Cricetulus griseus: one gene and its partner. The protein of the gene in region 1 interacts with the protein of each later gene in a pairwise test. Links are inferred from orthologs where the notes say so. Each region holds a gene or a part of one and is shown on either strand. Other genes may lie near its edges.

Region 1 (9,399 bases):
ACAATGTCCTAGGAAGAGGAGGGGCCCCACTCTCCTTTTATGACCTTAGAGGGGAGGAAAGGACAATGGAGTGGACACTTTCAGCCCCATTGCTGGGCACAATTCCCCACCAACCAGCCCAAGAGAAGGTGCTCTGGTGTGGAAGCATAGTCCCAAATTGTCTCTAAGCAGCTGGAACAGGAGCCAGTCTACCAGGCTCATGTCTCAGTTTCCCAAATTGTCAAATAGGATGATGACTAAAAACATAGGTAATATTATGAGTATGCATAAAAAGGACACAGGCCCCTTGCTTGGAGAACAGCAGCTATAAATTATGGGATGGAGAGCCTCAAAAGGATGGTAGTAGTTTCATCCGGATTACAAAGCAGCAGTCACGGGGGCAGAGAACTGAGTGGATACAGACCATGCAGCCAGGAATAGACCTTGACAACCGAGACACAGCTTTACCCTGCCCAATGGAAAGAAGTCCCTCTCTCCTGTTTCAGTGTCTTCAGGAGAATGAGTCATTTCTTTGATTCCCAGGACCCAGAGCCAAGTGTAACTGGTTGCCTACAACTTCCAACTCCAATGTCTGAATCATCTCTGCTGGTGCTCCTCCAGCCTGAGTAGGGGGGCCTTCCTGGACTTGATCTCTCTGCATCCACACTTAGGGGCCAGGTACCCCACCTCTACCCCCTCCTGGTACTACTTCCTTCTCCACTTATGCTATAGATCCCCCCAAGGGCTGAGAACCAAGTTTCCACATGCTCACAGGCTGCTGAGCTGAGTGGCAACTCAGTAGGGCTGAGACACGAGTCATCACTCTGAAGGTGATGACTCTTAGGTCTGCCTTAGTGGCCATTCCAGGTAGCAGGTCTCCCCACCCACTCCTAGATCAGTCAGGGCTATTCTGGAAACAAGTCTCTGGCTAGAGCTACTTTGCCTTGGGACCTCCCCTTTCTGTCCGACTTTCTGTCTTCCTTCAGCAGCTAGTGGAAACTCAAAGTCCAATTCCCAGAGACCATCAGCTCTGGCCACAGTTTCCATAACAACAAGGATGAAGGAAATGATTTGTTAAGGCTCCCTGCTCTGCCCAACTTTCCTCTTTCCTTCCAATTCTAACCCAGCTGCTGGCCCCTCCCCTCCTGACTGCCCCTTTGGGGTGAGTATCCTGTTAGTTGGAGGCACAGAGTATGTACCATCTGTCAGCAGTAAGGACTGAGCCCCGGGCAGCAGACAGGCATAAAAACAGAGGGAAGGGGAATGCTGATGTTGAAGGGAACAGGGCTATCTGAGGGGGAGCTCTGGGCCCTTCACACTGTCTGGCAGGGGCCACCAGGTGGGCACACCTCACATCACATCCTTGTGCTCTTGCTTGGACTCCTTAATGACCTGCAGGGGACAGGGAAGGTGCACAGTGCACAGTTAGGGGTGACATAGCTCCCAGACCCACCATGCTAGGCTGTGCATCCTGAGGCAAGCTCCCAACTATCCTGACCTGTCCTCCCTTGACTGTCATTGTAATTGCATCATGCTGAGGTCCAATTGGGGTGTGAAATGCCACTTGTAAAGCATCTAACACCATGCCTGACACTATGGCACAGGAGAAGCTATCTCTGTTGCCACCCCAACAAATAGAGAAGGCCATGCATGCTGTGTCTATCTCCTGTTCCCATTCCTCTCTGGAAAGCTCCTTTGAGTAAGATTTGAAGGCCTTTTCTTTCCCTAACTGTCCCAGTCAGAGCTGAGCCATCAGGAGGCCTTGGTACCCGGGTTGCCCTTAACACACCACCTGAGGAAGGGTTGGGAAAGGAGAATTGCATTCAAGGTCAATCCCTTCTTCCAAATTTCCATTGGGAGCCCCGGTAGTTAGTTAATAGGGACCTTCTGTGAGCTAGTCCCAGGCTTTCTGCAGTCTCGCTTCAGGAACTCCTGGGGGCAACCAGAGCCTTTGCTCACCTCACCGTCCCGCATCTCCACCGTCTTCACCACGATGTTCCTCTTGAGGTGCCCTTCTGAGACGGACTTGGTGTCCAAGCTGGTTTCTGCAGGTGCGAGGAGAGGAGGCCTCAGTGGGCTCTTGGGGCACTAAACAGCCTGTCCTGTATCCAGCTTCCCATCATGCACCCAGGGGCATGAATACAGGGCTATCTAACTAGGTAGGGAGAGGCTCAGTTTGCCCAAAGTGGCTGGAGACTCCCAACTGCCCCCCAGCACAGACACATCTTACTGCTGTCCTGTAGCCCACGCGGCCTTCTATTCTGGCACCTGGCTTCCTGACAACCAAGGGCTACATCAAGATAGAGGCCTCAGTTTCCTCTCTTACAAAAAGTGCTCACGGTGCCTACTTCCCTGGAGATGGTGATGGGGTGACTAACACATGTTAACATGTGCCACAATTAGTGATTAATACGTGTGGGACCCTTCCCCATCCTTACCTTTTTCTGTCACTTATCTGGACTCTAGTGGCCCTTGACTGTCTAGAATTTGGCACTATTACTTTTACCTGGTCAGCATAATTAACTTTCTAATGCTGAATTACATCTTGAAATATGTATGGCCAATATTCCTACGTGAAATTTCCTCCCTGCATCTAAGAATCACTTAAGGGCCACATACCAGTAAAAAGTAATTTGGTCCATCCCCCTTAGAGAGGAAAATAGAACATGTCACACTCAGTAATATTTAAAATGAAGAGCAGGGAACATAAAACTTTATTCACTACAAGAGCAGCAGTCCAGAGGGAGCTAATCCTCTGGGCTGAGTCAGCATTGAGTGAAACAACAGAGCCTTGGGGACCCATGAATCAAACACAGAGCCTGCCCAGAGGCACTGCAAGACCCAAGGGGACCACCTAGTGACAGCAAAGAGGTGAGGCAGAGGCTGGCATTTGCTCAGCAGGAACATTTACTCCCAGGGACAAGTCCCCTTTAACATAGGCTAGCTCTGTTGGTATAACCTAATCACACATAGCCAGGACGGGCTTGGGACTGAAGCTTCTGGAGAAAGGTCCCTGTCCTTTAGAGGAGGCCAAGAGGAGTGGGGAAATAGGCTTGATGATGCTCTCTCCCTGTCTAGCTGGGATAACACACAGCTGAAAAGCAGGCATCTATCTAACCGAGAGTTGGCGGGGCTGCGTTTACAATCTGGTGAGCCTGTATTGGTATAACTTGTACTGTGAGCCTTTTGAGATGCCTTGTGACTTTGTGGCCTTCCCCTTCTTTGGTGCTTTTGTCTCCTGTAGTGACAAGCAGTTCAAAACAAAACAAAACGTAAAACATTGAGAAGGGCAGAGCTTGTTCATGGCTAGCAGACCTGGCATCAGTCGAGACCTCACCAGTTCTGCAAGGGTACAGCTAGGGGTTGGGGGCATAGGGCAGAGTGAGACAGGGACAGCTATAAGCCCTAGGATGCTGTGCTCTACGTAGGATTAGTGGAAGGTCTTAAAGGCTCCCAAGGAGAACTTGGATTCCTTTGCCCCCAGTCCCCAAGAGCAGTCCACAGGCCTGGGGGAGGAGGTAGCTATTCAATACCCTTTCCCACAAGGCCCCACTATACTGACCTCGGATCTGCAGGTTGGAGAAAGTTTGTACAGGGATGGTGATGCTGAAAGACAGTGAGGGATGGGGGTGATGAGGCCAGAACATTCCCAGATCACAGCATGAAAATCTCAAAGTCCTTTGCCAGGCCAGCCTGGTTCCATTCCCTACATCCCTCCCCCTCTGTCTCTCTGTCTCTCTCTCCCCTCACCTCAGGTCTTTCAGACAAAGGTCTCTCTATGCAGTGTTGGCTGGCCTCACACTCATAGAGATCTGCCTGCCTCTTCCTCTCAAGTGCTGGGATTAAAGTAATGAACTACATATATATGGCAGAAGTGGGTGTTGGATCCCCTGGAACCGGAGCGTTACTACAGAACATTGCAAGCTGTCATGTGGATACTAGGAACCTAACCCTAACCACACAGCAACCTCCAACCTCCTCCACCTAAATTTCAGCCCAGAAGCTAATACTCTCCTGCAGCTGGAAAAATCTGCAAGGAGCTTGTGTATTATCTGCCCCCACAGAATACCTCCAGGAAGGAGCATGGAGGCTTGGCAGGTGGGCGGGAGAAGTCCCATCTTTGTTGGCTAGCCTTGGGAGTCAGCCTCTTAGTTTGGGGGAATAGCTCAAGTCCTCAGCCCTGGAACTTAATACTGGTTGAATGAATCTATCTGTCTGTCTGTCTGTCTATCTATCTATCTATCTATCTATCTATCTATCTATCTATCTATCTATCCTTCAGTCATTTCTTGAATACCTATTATGCCTTAGGCTGGACTTTGGGGGTGGAAGGAATACAAGGCTACTGGAGTACCTTAGGGGGAATTCTAAGGAGAAAAAACAGCTCTAAGGAGATGAGCTCACCGGTTTTCCTCGCCCTCTAGCAATTTCCTGTAGGTGGCAATCTCGATGTCCAGTGCTAGCTTGACGTTGAGTAGATCCTGGTATTCCTGCAGGTGGCGAGCCATCTCCTCTTTGAGGCTTTGGCCCTCCTCCTCCAGCCGGGCGAGCGCCTCCTGGTAACTTGCCGACTCCCGCGCGTGGCGCTCGTCCTGTTCACGCATTTGCCTCTCTAGGGACTCATTCTGCCGGATGGAACCGACTGATCACTTGGTCCGGTGATTCCAAGGGGCTTTGAGGCCCCACCCTCAGCCTCAGCCCCCTACCCACCTCCAACTTTTCAGATTCCTTCCTCCCTTTACCACTCTTCATCTACCCTCAACCCTCCCAACCCCCCCCCGCCCGGTCCCCTTCCAGCAACATCTTGGGTGACGGCTGCCCCCATCCGACCAGTGGTCCCTGCCTGTGCTCACCGTGCCGCGCAAGGACTCCAGGTCGCAGGTCAAGGCCTGCAGTTGGCGGCGATAGTCATTAGCCTCGTGCTTAGCCTGGCGGAGCAGCTCTGCGTTGCGGGAAGCAGCATCTGTGAGGTCTGCAAACTAAATCGAAAGAGGAACTGAAGTCGAAGGGAGGGCTGGAGCCTCCCATCGGCACAGTGCACAAACCAGGTTGCTGCCTGGGATGGGGGATAGACACGGTCTCTGGAAAATCAGAAAAGTGGGGTCGACCTCAGGTCTCTCCCAGGTGCAGCAACTGTAACCGAAGGATTTATCAGGCCTTCAACATGTTCAGGCTGTCACTGGCTTCTGCGGCTCAAACTGGACTCTGTGCCCTGGCCAGCAACACCTCCAGTCTCTGCTTTTCTGTCTCAGGCCTCCTCACAACGCCTGTTCTCTACTTGAGACGCCCTTCCCTCTTCTCTTGAGTCTCTAAGCTGCCTGTTTAGCACAAGCCCCTGTTTCCCAGTCTGTATAAACTCTGATATCTCCTTGACCAAATAAATGTTTCTCTGTATCTTGGGGAGTACCCGGCACACAGTAGACGTTCAGGAACACAGGACACAGACTGGCAGAGGCATCAAAAAGGCAGGCTCTCAAATGAGATGGGTTAGGATTAGAAACTTTATCCCTTGTTCACTTAGGAGCTGTGTGACATTGTGCAAACTAGTTAACCTTTAACCTTGCTGGTTAAAAATAGTAGTAGCAATAACAATGAGTAGTTTGGGAAGTCGTAATGCCTGTGTGGTCCTGGGCAAGCCATCTCACTTCTCTGAGCAAGCTGGTCACCTAGATAGGTTATTTTCCAAGCCTCCTTCCCTATTCCCCAGTGTGGATCAGGAAGGGCTGCCTGGAAGAGGCAGGCTAGCCCACGGGTACCTTGGACCGATACCACTCCTCTGTCTCTTGCATGTTACTGGTGGCCACTGCCTCGTATTGAGTTCGAATCTCTCTCAGGGCCGCTGTGAGGTCTGGCTTGGCCACATCCATCTCCACGTGGACCTGCTGTTGGGCCAGCTGCTCCCGGAGTTCTCGAACTTCCTAATAGGGTAAAAGAAGGGGTATCTCAGGCCCAGGCTACAGCTGGGGCTCTCCCAGCATCACACTTTTGCCTGCCCAGATATGTCACTGGCTCAGGGAAATGGGGCAGCCTTTACTGGAGGAAGTGCATAGCCTAAGCTAATGGGCATGTGCCATTTAACCTTTAACCCTAGCATGTGAGAGGCTGGAGCAGGCAGTCCTCTATGATTTTGAAGCCAGTCTGCTCTACATAGAATGTTCCAGGCAAGCCAAGGCTACACAGTGAGACCCTGTTAAAAAGTAGAAATAAAAACCCTAATGGGTATGGAATGAGAATCTGAGGGCGTCTTCCTCCCAGGGCTGTGTGTTCAGGAGCCAGGCATGAATATGTCCTGCATCCTGGCTCTGAGGTCAGAGAACAGAGGGGTGTGTGTGTGTGTGTGTATTTGAGACAGGGTCTCATGGAGACCAGGCTGATCTCAAATCTTCTGTGTAGCTGAAATTGGCCTTAAACACTTTGAGCTTCCTACCTCTACCTCCCAAATGCTGAGATGGCATGTCCTCAGAGGGGTTTTCATGACTGTCTCCCATCTTCCTGGTGACAAGTGGGGGAGAGGGTGAAACCAGACAGGCTGTGTGACTTTGGGGTGGTTGTTTTGTTTTGTTTTGTTTTTAACTTCTCTAGGATTCAACATCCTTCCTGTTATGAAAGGAGACCACAAGAAGGGCTCACAGAGCTGATGTGGAGAAGAAACTAAAGACCTGGCCTTGTGCTTCTCAAAACATGGTGGTGGGGGAGGGCCTGTGTGCATTTTCCAGGGGTAGGAGACACTGGAAAACACCTCCCTTGGTCTCTCTGTCTTCACTCTTTCTCTTTCATTTTCTTTCTTCCTGACAGTTGGCTTCTCTGTTTCCCTCTCTAAGTATCTATCTGTCCATCTGTCTGTCTCTTTCATTTGAAGATTCTTGTTTGGCCTCCCTCGTTCCACCTGGCCTCACCTCCTCATGGACCTTCCTCAAGAACTGTATCTCCTCCTCCAGCGACTCAATCTTCCTCTCCAGGTCCAGACGGGCCATGGTAGCTTCATCTGCCTCCTGGAGTGGGGAGAGGGCCTTTTTTGACCCCAGAGCCCACCCCACTACAACCTCCAGTTTTGTCTTCTCCCTCCTTGTGGGGGTCTGGGAAGCAGGCAACTGCAGTGAAGGGTTAAGTTCAGGGCCTATGTCTGGGTGGGCAGTCATTAACCCCACCCCCAAGCCCTACCCCCAACACACACACCCCCACCCCAGCTGCCCATCCCTCCCATCTCTCTGACCTGTCTATAGGCAGCCAGGTTGTTCTCAGCCTCCAGCCTCAAATTGGTTTCATCTTGGAGCCTGGGATATGGGACACAGTATGGGCTTAATGCTTTCCTAAGAACTCTTATTAGATCCCTGTCCCAACCTCTATGGAATTGACTGTCATAAAACACTCTCACAGGACCCACAGAGTGGCAGGAGACGTAAGGAGCAGAGGCTTCCTAAACAGAGGCCCTGGCTGAGAGAGTAAGCAGCAGATAAGAGTTTCTGCCTTAACTCATTACTGAGGTGCCTTATCGGGGTTGGTGCACCTGCTCATGCTCGCACAGGCGCATCCACCACCATGTGCACGCTTTACAGACACCAGTGCACCTCCTGCACTATATGGGCACACGAATGTCCACCACTCAGCAAAGCACCATGCCCCAGAGTTCCACCTTTTAGGACAGATTGTATCATGACCTCTCCTTCACAGCTATGACAAAAACTGGTGACAGACAGTCATCGGGGTTCTGCACCCAGGCCTGCCCTTTCTTTCATTCTCTCTATTTCAGAGACCAGAGCCTCCTTGTGGACATAAGCCTTCACTCGTCAGATTCACAGTGCCAAATGAATGAAAAAGCAGAGCACCTGCTGGCTGGTGCCCTCGCTGCCCACACAGCCTTCCCCAGTGTGGAGATGTCCCGCGTGCCAGGCTCCCTGGCAGCAGACCTTTGGGAATCAGATCGCTGAAGTTCTGGCCTCTCCCTGCCTATTCCCATCATATTAGGGAGCAAAGATAGCTCTCCCTTTCCCAGGCATGGGGAAATGCAGCAGCTGAAACGCCGAGCCCTTGCCAGAGTCAGTACCCTTCCTTATAGGCATCCCTCTCGGTTCTGTCTAGCCATTTTCCCTGACCCCCTCCTCACTTCTGCCTCAGGGTGCCCAGGTCCTGTGCCAGATTGTCCCTCTCCACCTCCAACCGGGCACTGTTGGCAGTAAGGTGGTCCAGCCGCAGCCGCAGCTCTCGCAGCTCTGCCTGGTAGACGTCCGCCAGTTTGGTGGGCTCCTTGGCACGAAGCTGGTTCAGCTCAGCTGCCAGTGCTTTGTTTTGCTGTTCCAGGAAGCGGACCTTCTCGATGTAGCTAGCAAAGCGGTCGTTGAGCTCCATCATCTCAGCGCGCTCACTGGCCCGAGTCTCCTTGAAGCCAGCATTGAGAGCCCCGGCCAGGGAGAAGTCCACCCTGGCAGGGAGTGGAGGAGGCATTCGAGCCAAAGAGAAGCGTGGGATGGTACCCAGGTGGCGGCTGGGACCCAGGCCCCTGACCACCGTCTCGGAGGAGGCATAGGAGCGACGTGCAGAGGTGATGCGTCTTCGCTCCATCCTGCCCTGGCCCTGCTGGCTCTGGGGATGTCAGAGTTTTATGGAGGAATGGGCTGAACTGGCTCTGCCCTGACTTCCTGGCAGCACCCCACTGAATAGACTGAGGGGGTGGAGCTGGGCCCTAGCCCAGCTACGGGGAGAGCTCCTCTCACCCCACTGAGGTCTTTGTACTAGAGTCAAGGTTTCCCTGGGCACACCAGCTTGGCTTCACCAGTGATGAAGAAAAACCCCTTTCTGGTAAGATGGGTCAAGAGAGGGCTAGAGTGGCTGAGGAAACAGCCCATAAATTGCTTGCCTGTCAAGCATGAAGACTCAAGTTCTAGTCACAGAATGAAAACAAAAGGTCAGGTCTGACGATGTGTACTTGTAACTCCAGTGCTGGGGAAAGAAAACCAGGAGGATCCTTGGGTCTCACTGATTAATGGGTGAGTTCCAGGTCCCAGAGAGAAACGATGTCTCAAAGAAAACCAAGGCAACAGTGTCTGAGGAACAATACCTGATGCTGACATTTAACCTCAGTGCACATGGGCCCACACAGGAATATCTTGCAATGAACAAGCATTTGTGTGTAGGTGCACTCGAGCATGTGAGCAAACACGCACGCGCGCGCACACACACACACACACACACACACACACACACACACACACGAGAGAGAGAGAGAGAGAGAGAGAGAGAGAGAGAGAGAGAGAGAGGGTGAGCACGAGCTGGGTTGGGTGAGCTGCCCCCTGCTCTTAGCGTCTAGAAGCCAGGGCTACCCTCATTCTGCACTTTTCCATGGGCCTGTGAGATGCTAGGAACTTGAAGAATCTATGCCCTGCCTCCAGGATCAGCCTATATGATAGTTTCCTGCTGACTCCC
Region 2 (11,025 bases), on another chromosome or scaffold:
CAGCCAGGGCCACAGAAAAACCCTGATCAAAAAAAAAAAAAAAAAAAAAAGAAAAGAAAACCAAAAACACCTGTTTGGACCTGAGGAGGAGATGGTTCAGTTGGTAGAGCGCTGCTCGTGTGCACAAAGTCCTGGGTACCATCCCCAGCACTATTATAATTAGGCATGATGGCACACACTTGTAATCAAAGCATCGAGGAGGTAGAGGCAGGAGGATTCTAACTTTAACACCATACTTAGCTACACCGCAAATTTTAAGACCAGCCTGGGCCACATGAGAACTGTCTCAAAAAAGAAAGAAGGAAAAGGTTTTTTCAAAGTTCTACCTGTGTGTATTCAAATCTATTGTTTCTTTTGGAAGTTTATCTGAGTCACAATTTTTTTTGGGGGGGGGCAAATGAGTCCCAGATTCAGAACATTCCAGAACTCAAGACTTGGCCTATGTTTGTTAAGAATGTCAAAGATACAGAAGAAACTTAGAAACCAAGGTCAGGCAATTATAAACATAGTGAGTGAGCAACTTTCACTTTACCCTGTTCTTCAGGATGAGACCCCCACACACACATACCCCCACATGTCTCTGGAGCAAACTGAGATTAGGAAGGCATACCTGAGGTAGGTGGGGGGCTCTGTGCTGATGGACACAGCCTTGTATTTCTCATCGTTGCCATCCAGAATCTCTTCTACCTCCGAGGCTTTCAGTAGCGTCACGCTGGTGGCGAGGGTGGTGTACCCATGATCTGTAAGCAGAGAAACCCCACTGTGGTCATCCTGCAGCAGTGTGAACAAGCTGACAACCAACTTGATACAGCACACGAGGTCCTCACATGCAGGAGGTGGGGAAAGCAAGGTGTCAAACTCAGTACTGCTGAGTGCTAGCCTCTTCCAAAAGGGCAATCCGGACTGAGGCTTTACCTAGACATCTCAGTGGAGAAAGCCTCTGGTGGGATGGATTTGGACGAATTTGCCTCTTAAGAGCACTAGCTCTGGGGCAGACATGTTTGGGGGTAGCTGCAGCTTAGGGGCTGCCAGGAAGGCTTCAGAGTAACACCCCAGTGGGAAGAGGTCTGACACCACCACAATCTAAAACACAAAGCAAGATGGGAGACAGAATGAAAGATGAATCCTCTTCTTTTAAAACAAGAGCCCAGAGAGTTGGAAAGAACTATTTCACACCAAGCAAAAGTTACCATCCCTGAGTCAGGCCAGATGTGGTTGTCTGGAAAACAAGACAGAACTTCACACCACGTGATATGCCTCCCCCCCCCTCCCCGCCCAGTTCTAGGGAACCTCTGTCAAGCGCTGCTACTTATCTGCAGGACCTGCTTAGCTTTGCTGGAGGACTCACTTGGTTATAGGAAAGGAAGGCACATGGTAGCAAGACCACTAAGGCTTCATGGGAACTCAAGGAAGGGCAGGCAAAGCTAGGTAGCCACCATGCTAGTGACTATATTCCACTTTTGGCAGAGGGGACACAAAGGAAACTGTTTCAGGCAATAGTGGATTCTTTCAGAAGTGGATAAAAAGCAGCTCTGGCTCCTGCATTAAAAGAACCCCAATACACCACAACAGACAACTACATTAGCACATTAGCACCTACTGACAAGACAGACTACAGAGTGCTCATGAGCACGCATGCATGCACGGACACATGCACCCAGGCCCAGGGCAGCTCTCTACAGGGTGCCTCTGCTGAGTGGAAAGCAGTTTTGCCACCGGCCAAATGGCATGTTGCGCCCATACCCAAATGTTCTTCCTAGAGGCCCCAAAATGTATGAAGAGCATCTTCACTCTGCACAGAGTTGCCACAGCCCAGACCTTGCACTAGTTTCACTAGCACCAGGTGGCTCACCTAGCAAGCCCCAGGCACAGGGCAGGCCACGTGGAATGGGTACATGCACATGAGCTTAGCATACTGGTTGCCAAGATGAAGTATTATGAGATAAATGTGCTCTGGGAGGGAAGCGGTGAAAGCCCCAGAAGAAAGTGAGGGCTGGGGCCACCGTCTGCTACTAGGGCTGCAAGAAGGACGACTACGGCAACACACTCACAGCAAATGGTAGCAAATCACAGCATTCCTAAAACGTTTTGAGACCAACATGTCTTCACAGCACCTGCTACTACCCTGGCCCTGGCCCTGGCCCCTCACATACCCACTGGCCCAGCCAGGAACACACAACAGTGGAGCACCAAAGACTCGCTGAGCTACTCTCAACTGAACCATGTGTGCGCTGGCAGGGTGGCCTGCCCCTGGGATGCTCCCTACCGAACTAAGGTCAGGCTGCAATGAAGACACTGGAGTGAAAACGTTTTATCTTCATGACATAAGCGAGTGGTTTTGAAACAGGTTTACAAACCCTCGTGAAGACGCACCCTTAGTGTTAGGTTTTGTTTTTTTACCATGTGACGATGCAACTATTTTCTTCCTCTCTTCCACAGTGGCTAGTCGCCTCCAGAGTGAGGGATATCTCTTGTACAGAGAACCTCGGAACATACGGAGGTAGTTTCCCACCTATGAGTAAAGCAAGAAGGCTCATTATGAGGGTCAGACCATCGATCACTATGCCGAAGGGCTCTGGCAGAGAGGATTTGCTGGATCAAGTACATGAGATACAAGGCCTCCAGACGCCAGCCTGTCAGCAGCCATAAAACACATTTTGCTGACATCAAGGGTTCAACAGCAGTGCACATCTGGCTGGAATCTGTGTATCCTGACATCAGAACCAAGTTCCAAAAGATCTGACCAGATGTCTATTGGGGAGGATCCCAGACCTCAGTAAGGAGCTTGTGATGTCGATCAGGACGAAAGATTTCTTGGCACTTTTCTGAAATCTGAGACTCCTGTGACCTCCTTTCATCTTAAGAAGCAGACTTTGATATTTTTACAAGGCAATAAACACCAAAATGTCTTTAATTTTAGACAGATGCAAGATAATTTGTCCCGCTGCCTGTGTTGCTTTATTTAGTAACAAAACTCAAACCAGAGACACCAAAAGAATTTTCTCAAGTCTAAAAAGCCCTATATTAGTAATCCCTGGACTATCTTAGAAATCACTACTTCCCCCGAGTAATAGCTTAGTTTGCTTGTAGCAACACTTAAGGACACCCTTCATGAAAAGCTAGTCCTATGATTTTTATAAAGATCCATGGCCTCACTGACTTCAGAAATGATGTCTGCAGTGTCACACAGTGGGGACAACCAGGGGACACGGTGCAAGGTGCTGGCTCCAGCTGCAAATCTAGGCCTCTTTACCTATGTAGCCTTGGCTAGCCTGTAACTGGTTATGTACACTAGGCTGGCCTTGAACTCACTGGGATGGGCCTGCCCCTGCTTCCCAAGTGCTGGGATTAAAGGTGACGCCAGGCCCTCCAATCTGAATTCTGCTCTAGAGAGGATCACTTGTGTTATTTTTTCACCTTCTCTACCTATCATAGCGTATGTTTATTAAGAGGAAGTCATCTCTCTACTTTTCTTCCAGAAGAGACTAACAACAGCCAGAGCTGCTGAGCCCAAGAGCTGAACAGTCTGTACACAGACAGAAAAGACTCCTTGTTGCTATTTGGTTTGTAGGTCGTAACCATCCAAAGGAACCATCCAAAGGAAAAGTCAGCATTGTTGTCCTCTAGGACTACTGTGAGGGTCCTGCAGGGTATCTGTACCACAGAGCCTTCCTGAGGTCCCTGCAGAGCTTAGCACACTAGGGCCTGCTGGCTTGACTTTTCCTAAGTCAGTCTTTGCCCTCTCTGGAAAACAAAATAAAGATGTTGGATTTGGGTATTCATTTCTTCAAAGTTTAGTGACTCGTGTGGCACATGATAGAACCACTGCTGATGCCCTCCCCACGACCTCGAGTTCTTCCCCAAACCAGAGCCAGGCCCCAAAGTCCATTTTGGTACTGGGGGAATTATTCTCATTCAACTGGGAGGGCCAAGAGTAAACAGAAAGAAGGCAGTTTAGCTTTGTAAAACCTAAAACATGCTACAACGATGACCTCAAAAAACCATGCATGTCCAGTTTAAGCATCTCATATACATGAGAAAAATGGAACCAGACAGGCACAGAGTTCAATGGAGGAGCTGTGTGTTTAGCACAATGCTCTAGGTTCAATTTCTAGCACCAGAAAAAAGTTGGGGAAGGGAGAGGGAAGAAGGAGAGGGTAGGAGGAAAAGCAAGCTGTCACTTAGCCTCCTGGGGGTTTTTCCCACCTAACCTGCTATCTTTTAATTGCTCCACCAGATGAGAATCTTCTTTTCAAAACTACCACCACCGACTTAGAGTTAAGGCCAGATTTACCCTTTCATATGTTAGGTCAGGTAAACATTTCTTTCAACAAGTTATTCTACATGGAATGTTGAAACTCAATTGCTTTACATAACCTGCATTTGAGCAGATGCCTATTGGCCAACAAGGACCATTCCCAGCTGTGGGAGATGCCCAGGCACTGACTACAAGTCCCCAGCACAGCCACTGTGGAACAGCAGCACCGAAGGGATGCTGCAAACATGTCATGGCAGTTCCTACTTTTTGTTTAGTGAAAATGGGAACCCCTAAGTCCTGATGCTTCTGACAACATTGGCCCCATTACCTGGTACAGCTACGTCAAGAATCATGAAGTGTCCTGAAAGCCTCGGTCTACTATGGTTTTATTCATCATGCAGCACTAAGCTGTCAGAAACAAAATAAAAACCTAGCACACAACCAAAAGCCAACCACACACTAATGAAATGGAGTCTATGACATTGAACATGGCGGCCAGGGAAACTTTAGCTCTCCAGTGTGGAGAGCACTTACCTCCTTACTGACTGACATCCACACATCTGAATTTCATGCCCATATCTCTTTTTTTCTTTTGAGATGGGGTCACACTATGTAGGTAAGGCTGAACTCAAACGTACTCTCTACCTCCTGAGTGCTCAGATTAAAGGTGCACTCCACTGCCTGGCCACCCATACCTTTTCTTTCTTTCGTCTTTTGAAAAAGAGGCACATAAACCTGGTGTGGTACACATGCCATTATTGATCCCAGAACTTGGGAGTCAGAGGTCAGGTGGATTTTTATGAGTTCAAGGCTAACCAGGGTTACACTACAAGATCTTGTCTCAAAAATGGGGGGGGGGGGCAGGGAGGATGACCATAAATAGTTGCTGGTTTGCCCTTAGATGGAAGGCTAGTTTGATTCGATCTGAAAACAAAACAAAAAACAACCCAAAACACCTTTATACAACTTGGCTGGTCCGAAGGACCAATTGTAGGGTTTTCCTAAGAAAACTCGTTTATCTGATTCAACAGAGGCTGTCTCTTCTAGTTATGGATTAGCTATCCTTCAGATTTTTATTCCCTACAAAAACTCAAAATCAGATATCTAAAGTGTTGGTACTCGGGCCCTCGTCCACCCAAAAGCAAACGCCCCTTCTCTCCTAGCACTTTCTACAGATAATGAGCATCATAACGCTTCCGCATCCCACTTCAGAGGCGAGGAAACAAAGCGGAGGGGGGGAGGAGGAGGCCTTCCCTAAACCTCGTGCAACCAGAGATTTCAAGACCCTGGCGGTGGGGTGCACGACAGCTGCCCAGGGTTCCAGGAGCACGACTGCACCTCCACCTCCGAGCGCCCGGGGGGCTTTCCTAACATCCTTTTCGCATCAGCCCGGGGGTGCACCGGCTGGACGCCCTGAGCTGGGGCCGAGAGAACAAGGGTGAAGAAGAAAAGCAAACCCAGAGGGTCCAGGAGGCTCGGGGCCCGGCCACGCCCACCAGGCCACGCCCCAAACGCGAGCACGCGCCCGCCGCCCGCGCCTCCGCGATGAATGGAGGCGCGCACTCGGGGGACGCAGGCCCGCCGCGGGCTCGAGCCGGCGAGCCGCTGCCCTGCCGGGAAGCCGAGACAACGCGCCGCGGGCTACCTCGGAGCCGATCATGTAGAACTCTCCGTCGTCCTCCAGCTGGAACTTGACGGGCTTCTGCCCGAAGGTCTTGCTCAGCGCCATCATCATCATGGCGGCGGGGGAAAACGGGCAGCCGGGGTCGAGCTGGAAAGAATCCGGTGGGCTGGGGCGGGGCCGAGGTGCGTTGGGCCGAAGGGAACGGAGGCCGGGAGGTGGAAGGTCGGGCAGGGCAAGCCAAGCGGGCGGGAGAGCGGGCGGGCGGGCGCTCGTGCCACTACTGGGCTCCTTTAGCGGCCGTGCAAACGAGCAGGCCACCCTCCGTGCGCATGCGCGGTACGGGGGGGGGGACGCCAACGTGCGCGCCGCCACCTGCGCGACACAAGGCCGAGCGCGTTCCCGCGGGCCCTTAAAGGAACCCGAGCGCTTTTCGCTCCCGGGGGACGGGAAGCGGGGGTGTGGGAGCGGCCTCCCTTGTCTGTGATGAAGGGAGACTTCTCAGGGACATAAATAGCCACCCAGGCCCCGACTCGGGCGGTGACCCTCCTAGTCGCACAGCCAGGGCTGGCACTCGGCCCGGGGGTACGCGGGGAGGAGGAGGACCGCTCCTGGCGACCCCAGGCTGGCGCCTCAGGTTCTCCCCCGGAAGTGCTCTAGGAACGGCTGTCTCCGCTGCAGGCCCAAATAGGGACGGGAAGCATGACCGTCCTGGAAGGGGGTCGGTGCCTTGTGCCAAGTGGACGGGAAGGACCGCTTGCGTTCTTCCCTTAGCTCTTCAGCCCTGCGCCGAGCCTCTGCCCCTGGGGCCTGCCTTACCAGCCCTGAGGGAAGACAGTGCCGCGGGAAAACGCCCAAGCAGCCCTGAATCTGTTGTCTCAAAAATGTTTGAGTAATGTTTATTGTAGCGCTGTTGCCAGAGCTAAGTTAAAGCCCCCGCCCAGGTAGCTATTCAGCAATAGAAGAGCGGATAAAGAAAATGAGGTATAATAGGCCAGGTTTGGGGGCGCAGGCCTTTTAGTTCCAGCCCCCCGGGAGGCAGAGGCAGGTGGATTTGTGTGCGTTAGAGGCCAGCCTGATCTCCAGAGTGAGCTCAAGGACATCCAGGGCTATGTAGACACACACTGTCTCAGAAAACAAACAAAAAAGGAAAAAAAAAAAAGAAAGTGAAATGTGTTGTGTACACAATGGATTTTTTTTTTTTAGCTACAAAACGAAATAATATTAACTGAAGAAAAATGGATGCACCTGGAGATAATCACATTAAACAAATTAAGCCAATCTCAGAAAGATAAATGTGTTTTCTCTCATTTGTGGTTTCTAGATTTTTTTATAGATACATAAATTATGTATTGCACTGAACATGAGCAGAGCGTTGGTGGCACACGCCTTTAATCCCAGCACTCGGGAGGCAGAGGCAGGTGGATCTCTGTGAGTTCGAGGCCAGTCTGGTCTCCGGAGCGAGTGCCAGGACAGGCTCCAAAGCTACACAGAGAAACCCTGTCTCGAAAAACCAAAACAAACAAAAACACAAATACACAGAACATAAAAGTAAAAGTGACATTGTGTAGGTGAGCAAAGGAACTATCAGGAGCTGGAGGAGAGTTAAGGAGAGGTTGGGGTCATGGGGGAATGTGCAAAACATACACTTCTATGAAAGTTGAAAACCAGTGGCCAGTTAGTGACCCCGGTGACTATTTCATGAGAGTCTGTCTAATGAGATTGCAGTGGTGTCAGAGTCATTATGAAGGAGATGCTAAGAGCTAGGAAGGGCCGTGGCAACCGTGAGTTTTGTTCACTGTTCTCACAGCAGTGGGAACCAGAGTTTTAAGTTACGGGCCAGGCATGGAGGCTTACACTTTTAATCCTAACACCCCAGAACCCCAAAGTCATAAGCAGGCAGATCTCTGAGTTCTAGGACAGCCAGGGATCTATGAGACCATACCTGCCCCCCCACCCCAAGGAAGGGGTAGTTTAGACATGATTGTATCAAATGACCTGCTTTGGGAGGGTATCAGGAGCAGATGAGGACACAGGCAACCAGTTTAAAAGCCACTGGAGGTGCCCCTCTCTACTTGTGCATTAATGGAGTAGGAGAAACCTTAAACATTGGTCCTAGCACCAGGAAACAGTCTTAGGTGGTGAAGGGTTTGACTCTAGCTCCCAAATCCTGACTGCAATTGCAAAGATAAACCAGACAGACGCTTAGAAAACACTCACGTTTAATGACAGTCTCAGCTTTTTTTTAAAAAAAAAAAAAAGGCTTTATACACTGTATACACATTTATATGGCTTTGGAAGGTACCTGTGCTAGGAAGAGCGCCCCCACCAGGAAGAAATGGCCCGGGACAAGGCTCTGAGGTATGTGGGACCTCTGAGGTTCAGTGTCTCCCAGAGGAAGCAGAAGCAGCTGCCTCCCTGGCTGGCTGGCTGGCTGGCTGTGTACCTTTTGGCTGGGAAATCTATCTCTGATTCACCTGCCAGAAGTCTATCGGTCCAGCATCTCCCCAGAGCTGACTTATTAGGAAAGATACTGCCCTGAGGCCCAGCTGATTGGCTGGGGCAGAATGGTACCCTGGGGATTTCATCACTACCACCACTACCCACAAGAGCCTCCTTATAAAAATGAAGACACTGTGGTCCCCACATTCATTTGGAGAGGTTCTGCTTTGAGGGGCAGAGATGAGGCCGTGGGCAGTCAGGTTGACTATAATCTACATAAGTGGTATATTGTTGGCCTAAGACCGCCCTTATTTTTAAGTCACACCAAAGCCTTTGCCCAGTCTAAGGCAGTCGCTGACAGGTGACCATGACCAGCATGGCCCTCCTTGCAAATGGTGCCATAACCCAACCCACTCCCCTGAGGAGACATAGGCTCTGTCTGTCCCATGCCTGAAGCCACAAAGATGGTGGCTGTGGGTCTCTTTAATGATATAAGTGACCTGGCAGGGGGTCAGTAGCCCTGAGTATGTCCAAAGTGTTGTCAACGGAATGTATTGGCGGGTTCTGCACAGTCAAAGAAGTCAGGGCCTATAAGGCGAGGAAAGCCCTCCAAAACCTTCACCTTCACAGGGTCAAACTTCCAGTAGAGATGGCCACGCAGGAAGTAGGCATAGCCTGAGGAGAGAAGGAGGTGAGGCTGGGTAAGCAGATACTGGGCTCTGCACCTGCCTGTCAGGCTGAGCCTGAGGAATGATGTTGTGCTGAGTGAGCAGGCCATGGCCACTGCTGGATTCTTTGGAATCTGCACAGCTGGATATAGTGGCTTTCATGTCTGTACTCCCTGCACTCAGGAGGTAGAGGCAGGAGGAGAAAGAGTTCAAGGGCATCCTTGGCTACATAACAAGTTTGAAGCCAGCCTGGGCTACATTTATTTACTTCCTGTGCCTTCAAAACAAAATAAATGTGCAGACTCCAGAGCTTGCTTACCAAAACCTCCTTTCCCTTCACGGAGCCCTTCTGCCTGCCCCCAGGGTCTGGTCCAGTAGGTACTGGGAACCTCAGATCAGGAAAGAAAGTACTACTTCCAGTACCAAGCTCCCCTTCACTTCCACACCTGCCCACAGACCACAGAAAACAATACCAGAGGTAGAGAGCTTGATGCTACTCAAAGCAGTTCTCCCAATGAGTCCCAGTGTGAGTGAGCACAGAAGCAAAGGAGAGTAGCAAGCAAGAGAGCACTGGGCTTGTCTCTAGTTCCCTGCACTAGAAGCAGGGGGAAGCCTGGTGGTCCAGTGGTTAGGAGCAGTAACTGATGGGAATCCTGGCTCTCCCATTGTTTATCTGGTATGGTTAGTGACCTCACTGCCCGTTCTTCTGTTTGACCCTCTGAACCTATGCCAGCAAGAGCTGTTATGGCCAGACATGGTGGTGCACTCTTTATCCCAGCATGTGGAGGTAGCAGTAGGCAGATTTCTATGAGTTCAAGCCCAGCATGGTCTACAGGGCAAGTCCCAGTTTAGTCCAGGATACATAGTAAGACCTTGCCTCAAACAAACAAACAGACAGACAGACAGAGCTGTTGTGACATCAGAAGGCTGTTCTGAGAGTTGTTTGAGACAAGTAAGGACTTGGTGCTATGCCCAAAGCATTGTTCTTAGTACGTACTGGCTGTGGCCAAGGGACCTGGGCAAGTCCTTGTACCTCTAGGCCTTCAATCTCGTTTGCAACATGGGTCATAACACTGGGTGGCCACCAGGAGGGGAGATGGCGCTAGACAAAGGACCTGTGAGGATGAGCTGGGCCTCATGAAGTCTGGGGTGGGGGTGGGGGAATGTCACACAGGATGATAGCCACTACTGTGTAGAAGCATGAGGGCTACTACACCCACCTCCCTCCAGCTACTTCTCCCCTAACTCACCCTCAGCATCCTGGAAGGCAGCGTCAATCTCAGAAGGTACCCCTCGCCAGTCAGTGGCACGGCGGGGCACAGGATTGTCCACACGCTGGGTTCTGGGGTGGAAACGCCAATAGTCTCCACCTCGGAAGAAGTAAATCTTGTTCTTCTCAGGACCCCAGACCAAGGCAGCATGGACCGGGGAACTCTGTAGGCCCAGCTCGGAAAGTGGTGCAGGGCCTAGGAATGGCTTCTCACCATCATATACCCAGTACTGAGTACCTGCCAGAGAGAAGATGTTGCCAGGAGCTGCCAAGTCACCACTGCCATGCCGGGCCACCGTGGATCTGCTTGGCCACCATCAGGGACTCTCCCAACCTGTTTCTTTTGTTTGTAAAACATTGCTGGCTGATAGTGCCTTCCCAGCAATCATACCCCACGAAGGATGTTAGGACCAGCTGGGATGAGCTGGTTTGAGAAGAAAGATAAGCTTGGGTTCCATAAGCCCAAGTTAAGGTTATTCTGGTCAACAGAGGGCTGCCCATTGCAGATGTTTGCTGACCACTCTGAATCCCAGCCCCACCTGTAACAGGCCCCTTGGCTGCCTTGCAATGCACATACAGGGTTCCCATGCCTCACCTGTGTTTGTGAAGTAAGTCCTGGAATGTTCTAGGTTGTCACCTCTGCCAGATGAGAATTGAAATCACAGATTCCAGGGTCACTGTGCCTAGATCAGTTTCCTGCTCTTCTTTATCCAAACTTCACGTGAGCCATTCTACCTCCGAGCCTAAATACTTCCTCAACTCTAAA

Evidence for each region. The genes of interacting proteins can lie anywhere in the genome.
Region 2: the proteins of Gfap (region 1) and Smarcb1 interact in binary tests that used the Homo sapiens proteins (3 or more experiments, as listed by UniProt). The link is inferred for Cricetulus griseus from reciprocal best matches to the Homo sapiens genes GFAP and SMARCB1.

Annotation. Positions count from the first base shown.
Region 1 is NC_048600.1:115,224,375-115,233,773, reverse strand, and holds Gfap (glial fibrillary acidic protein), read right to left. Parts: upstream 8,539-9,399; coding exon 8,084-8,538; intron 7,254-8,083; coding exon 7,193-7,253; intron 6,972-7,192; coding exon 6,876-6,971; intron 5,898-6,875; coding exon 5,736-5,897; intron 5,374-5,735; exon of another isoform or gene 4,959-5,373; coding exon 4,833-4,958; exon of another isoform or gene 4,605-4,832; coding exon 4,384-4,604; exon of another isoform or gene 3,586-4,383; coding exon 3,542-3,585; exon of another isoform or gene 3,218-3,541; coding exon 3,098-3,217; exon of another isoform or gene 2,025-3,097; coding exon 1,939-2,024; exon of another isoform or gene 1,372-1,938; coding exon 1,330-1,371; downstream 1-1,329.
Region 2 is NW_023276806.1:262,696,671-262,707,695, reverse strand, and holds the start of Smarcb1 (SWI/SNF-related matrix-associated actin-dependent regulator of chromatin subfamily B member 1), read right to left. Parts: upstream 6,215-11,025; 5' UTR 5,997-6,214; coding exon 5,904-5,996; intron 2,513-5,903; coding exon 2,374-2,512; intron 741-2,373; coding exon 611-740; intron 1-610. Other genes in the region: Mmp11 (stromelysin-3), read right to left, coding at 8,863-8,996, 10,240-10,497.